Linked DNA regions of Xenopus tropicalis. The protein of the gene in region 1 interacts with the protein of each later gene in a biochemical or structural test. Links are inferred from orthologs where the notes say so. Each region holds a gene or a part of one and is shown on either strand. Other genes may lie near its edges. The genes, in order: arl2, tbcd and unc119.

The links.
Region 2: the proteins of arl2 (region 1) and tbcd form a complex in vitro, tested with the Homo sapiens proteins (2 studies listed by BioGRID and IntAct). The link is inferred for Xenopus tropicalis from reciprocal best matches to the Homo sapiens genes ARL2 and TBCD.
Region 3: the proteins of arl2 (region 1) and unc119 form a complex in vitro, tested with the Homo sapiens proteins (2 studies listed by BioGRID and IntAct, with this or other methods). The link is inferred for Xenopus tropicalis from reciprocal best matches to the Homo sapiens genes ARL2 and UNC119.

The regions. Positions count from the first base shown.
Region 1 is NC_030680.2:32,599,339-32,603,786, forward strand, and holds the start of arl2 (ADP-ribosylation factor-like protein 2), read right to left. Parts: upstream 2,901-4,448; 5' UTR 2,855-2,900; coding exon 2,790-2,854; intron 1-2,789. UniProt on the Homo sapiens protein: Small GTP-binding protein which cycles between an inactive GDP-bound and an active GTP-bound form, and the rate of cycling is regulated by guanine nucleotide exchange factors (GEF) and GTPase-activating proteins (GAP).
Region 2 is NC_030686.2:48,128,056-48,132,412, forward strand, and holds the start of tbcd (tubulin-specific chaperone D), read left to right. Parts: upstream 1-1,416; 5' UTR 1,417-1,485; intron 1,486-4,357.
Region 3 is NC_030678.2:34,705,631-34,709,280, forward strand, and holds part of unc119 (protein unc-119 homolog A), read left to right. Parts: intron 1-1,820; coding exon 1,821-1,923; intron 1,924-2,907; coding exon 2,908-3,080; intron 3,081-3,650. UniProt on the Homo sapiens protein: Involved in synaptic functions in photoreceptor cells, the signal transduction in immune cells as a Src family kinase activator, endosome recycling, the uptake of bacteria and endocytosis, protein trafficking in sensory neurons and as lipid-binding chaperone with specificity for a diverse subset of myristoylated proteins.

The DNA.
Region 1 (4,448 bases):
AGCGTATGCCTGCCCCCCGGATAGTCTTGCCCACATATTGGGCTCCACACTCACATGTGGCTAGATATACCACCCCTTTGGTCTGACAATTAAAGTATTGGGGAATCTGGTAGACACACCCTGTATTGGAGCTCCTGAAGGATTTGGATACCCCAATTAGAGTACAAGCTTTACATCTCCTTCTACCGCATTTATATGTACCCTTATAGCGCATCCATGTCGCCCCCTGTTTATAAGTCTCAGTGGAGTATAGACTTTTAGAAATCCATGAGGCTAAATTTCTACCCCTTTTAAAAACAAATCGGGGTGTCTCATCCAAGACCTTACACAGATCTGCATCTTGTAAAAGGACCGCCCAGTGTTTGCGGACACTTCTTTGTATTTCTGCAACTCCCTTGCCATAAGTAAGGCAAAACCTAGTATTGGACTTATGATTATATTTGGCCTTACCCCTTGGGCATGCCTTATCCTGAGATGCACTATTGAGTAAATCGGACCTACTGGTGGCAACTGCCCTCTCATAGGCTATTTTGATGGTTTCCGTGTCATAACCTCTCTGTACAAATCTGTCCCACAGTTGCATGGCCTGTTTGTGAAAGGAATCCCAAGAGGAACATATGCGTCTAAGATGCAGAAACTGTCCCACTGGGATTCCTCGCACACAATTCCGGGGGTGCCCGCTGTCTGCATGTAAGAGTGTATTGCGTGTTATAGGTTTACGGTATAAATCTGTTGCTATTCGGTTGTTTTGTACAAAAAATACTATATCCAGGAAGGGGATCACATCCCTGTTTGTTTCGTAAGTAAACTTAATACCTTCAATGGCCAGATTACAATATTCAACAAAACGCTGCAAGGAAAACTCATCCCCATCCCATACCCCAATGCAGTCATCTAATAATAGCTGCTGACTTGACCCCACCAAGAGTCTGCAGGTTATCGGCCAGTGTATGTGGTCAAACCAACAGCCTGGCTGGATATTCATCATAAATGTACCACGATGCAAGATATGACCATTCAACAATACAAACATTGGCTCCTGATAAAAATGCAGAGGCTCAGGGTACATTTCTTACTGAGTATTGTGCCGTTTGTGCCACCACCCATACCCATGAACCCTTGAAGCTGTCTAGGACTGGTGCCCATGCATTGAACGGTTAACAATTCTACCATCACCCCATCTTCCCAGGCCCGGTGCCTTGGGGTTATCCTTGATTCTGCCCTGTCCTTCACCCCTCATATCCAATCACTTATCAAATCATGTCACTTTCACCTAAGAAATATCTCCAAAATCCGATCATTTATCACCCAAGATGCTGCCAAAATTCTTATTCACCCTCTTATAATATCTCGCCTGGACTACTGTAACTCCCTATTAATTGGCCTTCCCCTCCAAAGACTGTCCCCTCTCCAGTCCATAATGAATACTGCTGCCAGGCTCATACACCTCTCCAACCGCTCCTCCTCTGCCGTGCCGCTTTGCCAATCCCTGCACTGGCTTCCCCTACCATCCAGGATAAAATTCAAGCTATTGACCCTCACATTTAAAGCAGTTCATAACTCTGCCCCACCCTACATCTCTGAACTCATCTCTAGGTACCATCCAACCCGCTTGTTACGCTCCTCTACTGACCTGCTCCTCAACTCCTCTCTCATTCCCTCCTCACACGCTCGCATTCAAGACTTTGCAAGGGCTGCCCCCCTTCTCTGGAATTCGCTCCCACAAACTGTCAGACTTTCTACCAATCTCTCTGCCTTCAAGAAATCTCTAAAAACACATTTATTTAGAGAGGCTTACCCTAATCTAGTTTAGCAATACCCTGTGCCCCACCTCTCACAACTCTGGTCATGCCCATTCCCACACCTTGTGTCTCAACCCTTTCTCCTTGTAGATTGTAAGCTCTTTTGGGCAGGGCCCTCTTCACCTCTTGTATCGGTTATTGATTGCTTTATATGTTACTCTGTATGTCCAATGTATGAAACCCACTTATTGTACAGCGCTGCGGAATATGTTGGCGCTTTATAAATAAATGTTAATGTAATGTAATGTAATGAACTAAAACTGCCATATCTACCAGAGCAGAACAGCTGCAAGGGATTTGAGACAAGCAGCAAAGATGGAAGAGCGCAGCTCATTGAAAAAGTGCATTAGGCTGGTGTGCTTTTTCTCTTTTTTTTTTACAGAAAATTAGAGAGAGACTAACTGGGTTAAAATATATATATGGGGGGGGGGGGGGGGGGGGGGTTAACAAATTGGCATCCTCCAGTGAATTTCAATTTTCTTTTTAGGTTTAAAATGGTGCCCAAAATGTACACTTTTGTGTACAGAAAAACGTGGGTTTCTACGATTAAATATTAATGACACGTTGTTATAGTACATTATAGTACATTTTGGCACTCACCTCAATATGAGAATGGCCAGACACAAGTGCATAAAGGAATGCCCAGCGCAGTTATATTCTGGAATATACTGTGGCCCCATACAAAGTGCTCAGCAGGTCAGGGGCACCTAAACCACACCCTAGTTATATTAGTGCAACTAAACACACCATGCTTTATATAACTAATGTTCTGCCCCCACCTACCAAACTGACCAGTCACCCCGCCATTTAAGACGCTACATAAGACAAGCATTACACGGTGTAACATGAAATATTGTCCGATCCCTACTTTGCTCTTACACAGCCATAAAGACAGTAGCCACATGTAGCAATGTATGTGCTTTCTCAAGTCGGGCCCTAACATAATAGCTCAATAGTTCCCGCCGCGATACACCAAGGTGTGGATACAGCATGAGTAGCCGAACCTCCCGCTCCTTCTGCTTCATTTTCTTAAGAATAGTTAGTAAGCCCATGATGCTCAGACGCTTTCTCCTTGCCCAGGTCTCCTGTCAGAACTGCCGACCAATCAGATACGACGTTCTTCAACTTCCGCCCCTGCTATTGGTATTTGCGTAGGTCTGCGTAGGCCAATGAACGCCATCTAACCGTGTCGCTATGGAAACAAAGCATTCATTTTTTTTTTTGTCAACAACTTTAATTATACCGACATGACAAAACGTGTCATATGTATATGCTAATACTATGTGAGGTAATAAATATATATAACAATTATTCGTAATCCACATTCTCTAATTTAAAAGATACCACTTTTTTACAATAAAAAAATAAATGAATTGTAATGAAAAGATAAAGATATTTGGCATATAATTTCGGGTATCTGCGAGTTCTCATTGGTGGATGGTTGTCAAGGTGACGTTGCGTCGCATGCGTGCGGCGGGTCAAGGTGGCCATCTTTTGTGTGTCTAAGTCTACCCAAAGGTGCCGGTGAGTAAAAGCAGCAAACTGAGAAAGCAGATGGGCGTATAGAGGGACAAAACAGATAGGGCAGGCAATGAGACGGATAATATACATTTATAAAGGAGGCGATTAGCTTGCCGTGGTGGTAAATATAAACATGATTTAATATAAATAGGTGATGTGAAGACGGAGACAGAGCTGAAATCATTCATAAGAACAAGAACCATAAAATGGAACCCTGATGACAGGAATGCAGATAGATTGTTAAAATAATGGGAAACGACTGATGCTGAAATACCGAAAGTGGAATTATATTTAACAGCAGAAAATTGGGTTTAGGGGCCAAAAATGAACAAAGGCTGAAATCTGATAAGGAATGTGTAGTGAAAGGAGGCTGAACCGAGTGTAACAGTGAGAGGGGTGGGAGCAATGGGGAAATGTGGGACCCCAGTCTGAGGGAGCTGGATTCATAGAAAAAAGGAATGCCCAGAACTTCCACCCTTTAAGATGTTTTTCAGGTGCTGGTTGGATATCCCTGATACCTTCACATAGTGTTTGCCACCTGCTATCAACCACACAGGCTTGTGTTGCTATAGCTCTCTGGTTCTGTACAAAAAACAAGAAAAAAACTAGACAAATATATTAATGTGCCTCAGCACTTTCCCAGTGTCCCTAAAATGTCAGTGAGTGATGAACATTAAATTCAGCAATGTTTCTGCAATAATAAACATCTGTGATCACAGTTTATAAAATGGTAATGTCATGGGTTAATTCCTACGTTAGTACAGTTATACTGGATTTAATAATTACTGACATTACAGTGTCTTACTGACTATTCTTCAGAAATAAGGGAGACAAAAGGAGCAACGTAATCCTGAGATCACAGTGTGAAAGTAACAAATGCAAAATTATATTCAAATAATTGTTAAATGTGCAGACAGCCCATAACTAGCAAATATACTGACTACAAGATATTTGCCTATCTATATATTTACTATATATTTATTATTTTTATTGAATCAAGGCAGCTGAGAAATCCATCTTTTCATTGCTGTTCATGGATGTAATACTGTAATACCATAGTCAGACCCAGACTGGCAAAGGCCAGAGGGGCTGCTGTAAGATGCCATAGACAGTCACTATTTATTG
Region 2 (4,357 bases), on another chromosome or scaffold:
AGGGGGGGGCAAGATCTCCCCAAACCAACTGATACTTACTGCCCCCCCCCCTCCCAGAGCAGCTACAAACTGCTGCAAAGCCAAAAAGCAAGGCTGCTGCCAGGAAGCAACTAGAGAGGGACTGTGCCCAACTGGCAAAGGCAATGGTCGGGGGGTCCTGCAGAACTTGGAGAAAGCACAGGGGGCAACACTGCTATGGGGGACAGAGACTGTGCTATGGGAAAGGGAGGGGGCAGAGGGTTTTAACCCTTTACTGATGGCAAAGGCTTTAAACACCATTAAAGATATATTGAAGGAGACATTGCCAATATGAAGTTTGCTAATGGAGAAGCAAGGGCTATGGGTATAAGGAGGCCAGCGGGCAGGAATAAAGGGCTGGGGAAGGGGTTGGCCAGTGTAATGCCCATGATACCATGCAGCACCCCAAAAATTTGTATCCATGTACATTGACTTTGTTAAGGGGGGGAGGTGGGGAGCCTTATGTTTGGCATTTGGCACCACCCGGTGATTGTGACTTTAGTCCTCCTATAAGCTTCCCCCAGGATTTGGGGGGGGGGAGTTGTTTATATTCCAGTGTGGCTCTAAAAGGAGGAAAGCTGAAGAGGGGGGTAAGAAGGAAGAGAAAAAGAAAGGGACATGGGCACCTATATAGCAGAGCATTTTGTCCCAAGTGTAAAAATTCCCTTTGTTATATGGTAATAGGGGGCACACAGCAGAACTATATGGCAGATCCACTATCTTTCTGGCACCGGTGGGGCAGGTTTGGACTGGGATGTAAAACCCCCCCACTAAATAGTGACTATGGCATGTTACTGGCATTTGCCAGAAGCCACAGATTGCCAGTCTGGGCCTGTATGTGGGTGTTTTAGTGTTGGGCTGGCGGGGCATCAGTACAATACCTGGGGGCTCACCTACCCCCACCTGATCCCCACTGGTGCTTCCTATTGGTCTCCCCTGATCAGGCTGAAGATAGTATAATGTATGCATTCTCCAGACTGACAGGGCCCTGCAGCACCCCAGCCTCACACTGGGAGTTAGAAAAAAACAAAAATCTGTAAATAAAGGTCAGATTAAACCAGGTCTGATGGGCCCTGCACACCCCAGCCTCATCCTGGGTGTTTTAACAAAAGCTGTAAATAAAGATCCATTTTTAACCACGTCTGACATCCATCTACAGAACTACAACTCCCAGCATCTCCTTTACTCACAACTACAGTATAACAAGCATGAACTTTGCTTTATATAGTAGTAGGAGGGCCAACACACAGGGCTGTGGGTAACACTGAGATGCCACACACACCACCCGATGGGAGAATGGTGTAGGTAGAGCGATACACGCCTTGCTCTGTGCTTGCATTCACTCTCATTTTGTCCCTCTCCGGGACCCGTAGTTTGCACAGTAGCCTTTTTGTCATAGTTACTGGGTTGGGCGGGGCCGAGCGGCTGGATCACGTGGGAGGGCCCCGGAAGCTGCAGCTTCGTACAGTGAGTAATTTACTGTTCGGGTGTGTAATGTTAGTGTGTGAGGGGATTTGGTTTGACTTCTGCGGGCCCCCGTAGCGCAACCCTACTGCTCTCTGCTCCCCAACACCCCAACGCTTTCTGTTAGCTGATTGGTCTCTGCTCTCCCTCAGTACTCATTGTTTCACATGGCCCTCCGCTGTGTAATGTGACAGGGCTGTGTCTGACAGAATAGTGACAGGAAGCCCAGTCTGTGCCCCAGTGTGTGTCAGATATATGGCAGCTCTGTGCCCCAGTGTGTGTCAGATATATGGCAGCTCTGTGCCCCAGTGTGTGTCAGATATATGGCAGCTCTGTGCCCCAGTGTGTGTCACAACCCTCCCTCCAAATGAATGTAAAATCAGTGCCCCAGTATCTGTCAGACCCCCCCCAAATAAATGGAATTTCTGTGCCCCAGTATCTGACAGGAACCCCCCAAATATATGGCAGGTCTGTGCCCCAGTATCTGACAGGAACCCCCCAAATATATGGCAGGTCTGTGCCCCAGTATCTGACAGGAACCCCCCAAATATATGGCAGGTCTGTGCCCCAGTATCTGTCAGACCCCCCCCAAATATATGGCAGGTCTGTGCCCCAGTATCTGTCAGACCCCCCCAAATATATGGCAGGTCTGTGCCCCAGTATCTGTCAGACCCCCCCAAATAAATGGAATTTCTGTGCCCCAGTATCTGACAGGAACCCCCAAATATATGGCAGGTCTGTGCCCCAGTATCTGACAGGAACCCCCCAAATATATGGCAGGTCTGTGCCCCAGTATCTGACAGGAACCCCCCAAATATATGGCAGGTCTGTGCCCCAGTATCTGACAGGAACCCCCCAAATATATGGCAGGTCTGTGCCCCAGTATCTGTCAGACCCCCCCCAAATATATGGCAGGTCTGTGCCCCAGTATCTGTCAGACCCCCCCCAAATATATGGCAGGTCTGTGCCCCAGTATCTGTCAGACCCCCCCCAAATATATGGCAGGTCTGTGCCCCAGTATCTGTCAGACCCCCCCCAAATATATGGCAGGTCTGTGCCCCAGTATCTGACAGGAACCCCCCAAATAAATGGAATTTCTGTGCCCCAGTATCTGACAGGAACCCCCCAAATATATGGCAGGTCTGTGCCCCAGTATCTGACAGGAACCCCCAAATATATGGCAGGTCTGTGCCCCAGTATCTGACAGGAACCCCCCAAATATATGGCAGGTCTGTGCCCCAGTATCTGTCAGACCCCCCCCAAATATATGGCAGGTCTGTGCCCCAGTATCTGTCAGACCCCCCCAAATAAATGGAATTTCTGTGCCCCAGTATCTGACAGGAACCCCCCAAATATATGGCAGGTCTGTGCCCCAGTATCTGACAGGAACCCCCCAAATATATGGCAGGTCTGTGCCCCAGTATCTGACAGGAACCCCCCAAATATATGGCAGGTCTGTGCCCCAGTATCTGTCAGGAACCCACCAAATATATGGCAGGTCTGTGCCCCAGTATCTGTCAGACCCCCCCCAAATATATGGCAGGTCTGTGCCCCAGTATCTGTCAGACCCCCCCCAAATATATGGCAGGTCTGTGCCCCAGTATCTGTCAGACCCCCCCAAATATATGGCAGGTCTGTGCCCCAGTATCTGACAGGAACCCACCAAATATATGGCAGGTCTGTGCCCCAGTATCTGACAGGAACCCACCAAATATATGGCAGGTCTGTGCCCCAGTATCTGTCAGACCCCCCCCAAATATATGGCAGGTCTGTGCCCCAGTATCTGTCAGACCCCCCCCAAATATATGGCAGGTCTGTGCCCCAGTATCTGTCAGACCCCCCCCAAATATATGGCAGGTCTGTGCCCCAGTATCTGTCAGGAACCCCCCAAATATATGGCAGGTCTGTGCCCCAGTATCTGACAGGAACCCCCCAAATATATGGCAGGTCTGTGCCCCAGTATCTGTCAGACCCCCCCCCAAATATATGGCAGGTCTGTGCCCCAGTATCTGTCAGACCCCCCCCAAATATATGGCAGGTCTGTGCCCCAGTATCTGACAGGAACCCCCCAAATATATGGCAGGTCTGTGCCCCAGTATCTGTCAGACCCCCCCCAAATATATGGCAGGTCTGTGCCCCAGTATCTGTCAGACCCCCCCCCAAATATATGGCAGGTCTGTGCCCCAGTATCTGACAGGAACCCCCCAAATATATGGCAGGTCTGTGCCCCAGTATCTGACAGGAACCCACCAAATATATGGCAGGTCTGTGCCCCAGTATCTGTCAGACCCCCCCCAAATATATGGCAGGTCTGTGCCCCAGTATCTGTCAGACCCCCCCCAAATATATGGCAGGTCTGTGCCCCAGTATCTGTCAGACCCCCCCCCAAATATATGGCAGGTCTGTGCCCCAGTATCTGACAGGAACCCCCAAATATATGGCAGGTCTGTGCCCCAGTATCTGACAGGAACCCCCAAATATATGGCAGGTCTGTGCCCCAGTATCTGTCAGACCCCCCCCAAATATATGGCAGGTCTGTGCCCCAGTATCTGTCAGACCCCCCCCAAATATATGGCAGGTCTGTGCCCCAGTATCTGTCAGACCCCCCCCAAATATATGGCAGGTCTGTGCCCCAGTATCTGTCAGACCCCCCCAAATATATGGCAGGTCTGTGCCCCAGTATCTGACAGGAACCCCCCAAATAAATGGAATTTCTGTGCCCCAGTATCTGACAGGAACCCCCCAAATATATGGCAGGTCTGTGCCCCAGTATCTGACAGGAACCCCCCAAATATATGGCAGGTCTGTGCCCCAGTATCTGACAGGAACCCCCCAAATATATGGCAGGTCTGTGCCCCAGTATCTGTCAGACCCC
Region 3 (3,650 bases), on another chromosome or scaffold:
GTGAAGAGAGCCCTGCCCAAAAGAGCTTACAATCTACAAATGTAGCACCTTACTAGAATCAGAGCTTTTCAGAAATGTGTATTTTATATTATTATATATAATATATTATTTTGATATTTTATTTGGCAGTGGGCAGTAACCCATGGCAGCAAATAAGATGTTTGCTTTCAACCTGCAGCTGCCCAGTGTTTATAAATGAGCACCCAATATTTTCAACCCGCCTGGCACCCAGAATTTCCAGGCTGACACACTGCTGAGAAGGGAGTTCTACTCACAATGATCAGGATTGTAACTGTTGTAACACTTGACCTATAGGCTTAATTTGGGACTTTATGCAATGCAATGAAGTGAGTCATAAATCCTTGAATTAGAAGATACAGGGTTGTTACAGAAATAGTTTTCCATTGTAGTCATAGCAATCATTGCTAACTGATGGGTTTGGGTATATTACCGTTCCAAGAGGGACTTATGCACATATTCCTTGTCTGTTAAGTAGCAGGCTGGATTTGTTTTCCTTTTGTCTGAATGTACCATTGGATGTTTGTTGGGAACTTAAAGCTGGTCATATGCAGAAAGGTCCACTCGTTTGGTGAGGACTCTATACAAGTGGACCAATCTAAGCGCATATGCACTTCTCACCCTGATCATCATCTGGCTGCTTATTGTTTGGGCAGGCCTGTCTGAAGGCCCCGGGCACTGCTGATAAGCTGCCCACTCCGTGACCGTCAGCAGCTTTTATCTGCCCATGTAAGGCCACCTTAACCTGCTGTTGGGATATACTGATGGTGTTAAATAACCAGGCACAGATTGCTTTTACAGATTAACCAAACCCGCCAGAAAGCTGCGCTTCTAAAGCTGTGTTAAAGGGGTTGTTTAGCTTTATTTTAAAGGAACAGTAACACCAAAAAATGAAAGAGCTTTAAAGTAATGAAAATATAATGCACTGTTGCCCTGCACTGGTAAAATTGGTGTGTTTGCTACAGTAACCCTACTATAATTTATATAATAAGCTGCTGTGTAGCCCCGGGGGCAGCCATTCAAGCTGGAAAAAAGGAGAAAAGGCACAGGTTACATAGCAGATATGTTATGTAACATAACAGATAAGTTCTGTAGAATACAATAGTGTTTTATCTGTTATCTGCTATGTGCCTGTGCCTTTTCTCCTTTGAATGGCTGCCTCCATGGCTACACAGCAGCTTATTTATATAAATTATAGTAGACTTTCTGAAGTAAACACACAACTTTTACCAGTGCAGGGCAGCAGCACATTATATTTTAGTTACTTTTATACACTTTCATTTTTTGGTGTTACTGTTCCTTTAACTTTTACTATGATTTAGACAATGATTAGATATTCTGAGACAACTTGCAGTTGGTCTTCATTTTTTATAGTTTTTTTTGGTCATTTAGCTTTTGGTTAGCAATTTGGTATTTTAGCAGCCATCTGGTTGCCAGGATCTTATTTTCCCTAGCAACCAGGCAGTGGTTTGAATAAAACTAGAATAAGTACAGGTGATTGAATAGAAAGATAAGTAATAAAATTGTAGCTTTGCAGAGCAGTAGTTTTTTACCTGCAGTGACCACCCAATTGAAAGCTGGGTAGAGGTAGTAGAGAAAGGCAAATAACCCAAAAACCATTAAAGATAAATAATGAAGACCAGTTGCAAAGTTGCTAGGTATAGGACATTCTATAACAGTGATCCCCAAACAGTGGCTTGTGGGCAACATGTTGCTTACCAACCCCTTGGATCCTTGCAATGTTGTGGCAAGCTAAATTCCCTTATATAGCATTTCATTAGATAGCACATTTTATGTTTTAGAACGTGACCACGGCGATAAAAAGGATGCTGATCCTAATGCTGGCAGATTTGTCCGATACCAGTTCACTCCAGCTTTCCTGCGACTGCGCCAAGTAGGAGCAACGTAAGTGCCTAGAAAGATCACTCTTATAAGCAAATGCTTGCTCTTCTGCTATGAGAGAATTTGCAAGTAGGTTCAGGTAATGTAAATACAAACTATGTGCGATAGTTGTTTTCATTTCCTTTATGGCTTAACTAAGAACATGCAGTTCTGCACATGAAAATCAGTATATTAATCTAAGTATGAGGAGAGAATAAATAAAAATGGAACATTTATGCAATGGTTTGCATGTAAATTAGAGTTCAACTTTTATGGATAATATATTTCATTCTCCATAATGGCACTAGCTATGAAAATAGTGTTACATACAACAGACTCATATTGTGCTTAATGTGAAAGTCTGCCTGGGCCACATGAGGTTGGAGGCACCAACGAGTATTTTACTTCAACTGGTCCTGGGCCAGGCAGGGGTATAAGTATAGTGAGAGCATTGCATAACAACTCTGTCATTAAATGTACTTGCTCCTTCCTATAGTTGCTCTGGGCACCACTCCTTTCTGTCTTCTGTTTGGAATCGTGTGCCGCAGCACCTACTAACGCATGGGTACTCTGGAGCTACTGCCACCTCTGGACCAGGAGGTAGCTCCAGGGTTCCCCTCGTGCCCTCTGTCAATTGCCACAGCACAGTTGTGCTAAAGGAATAGGGCACACACGTCATGGCAAACACCAGAAATGATGCCCGAGAACACCAGATGACAGGCAGGCTTAGAAAATACTTGTCTCGGTTGCAACCCTTATGCAACAGACACAGTTGTGTCCATTATTACAAAAGAATGTAGTTGCATTGTGTATTATATGCTGTGTTACGAGATCCACTGGTTTTAGAAAAAGAACATTTGCATTGTGGCTCAAAACTGCACTTTACTCACTGCACTTGTTGACATAAATGAGCCCTTTTGTGTAGCAGCCTCTGACTGATCACAAAGTCTGCGTTACTGAAGCAAACATGTATCTTTTATATTTATGTATGTATATATTTTATTGCAGAGTTGAATTCACAGTTGGTGATAAGCCCATTAATAACTTCCGCATGATTGAACGGCATTATTTTCGTGAGCAGCTATTAAAAAGCTTCGATTTTGAATTTGGCTTCTGTATCCCCAGCAGTAAAAACACTTGCGAACATATCTATGAATTTCCACAGCTCTCTGAGGATCTAAGTAAGTTATTTCTCTACGTAAGTATTTAGAAATATATCTGTTCCTCTCTGTGGTTATATTTTATTTCATATAACAAATGCAGTCTGATTCTCCGTGAATCAGTGCAGATTTCAACTTCAAAATAGGCCCTGGCATTTCAAGTACACAGAGGCCCAAACAGCCCCCCACCAGCCCAATAAATAGTGACTGTCTATGGCATCTTACAGCAGCCCCTCTGGCATTTGCCAGAACCCACAGATTGCCAGAATTTGTGTAATTTTCCAACCTTCATAAGATGTCAACTGAGAACTCCATTCTCACTGTATTTTCATAAGCCTGAATAAATATTGAGGGAAAATGCCTGCCAGCTGTTTGGTTATTCTTTTAGGGTGAATAGGCAATAGAACTTGGCATGTAAGGCTGACATATCCACCATTTGTGTGCAAGCTTCTACCCTGAGACTGTAAGATAAAGAATTAGATGGCTTAAAGTACATTTTTGCCAAATAAATCTGTACTCATAATATTCTGTAACATTCTGGCAATGGAAGGTCCATTTTGTTTGAGATTGATGTTTAATAAATATTGCAAA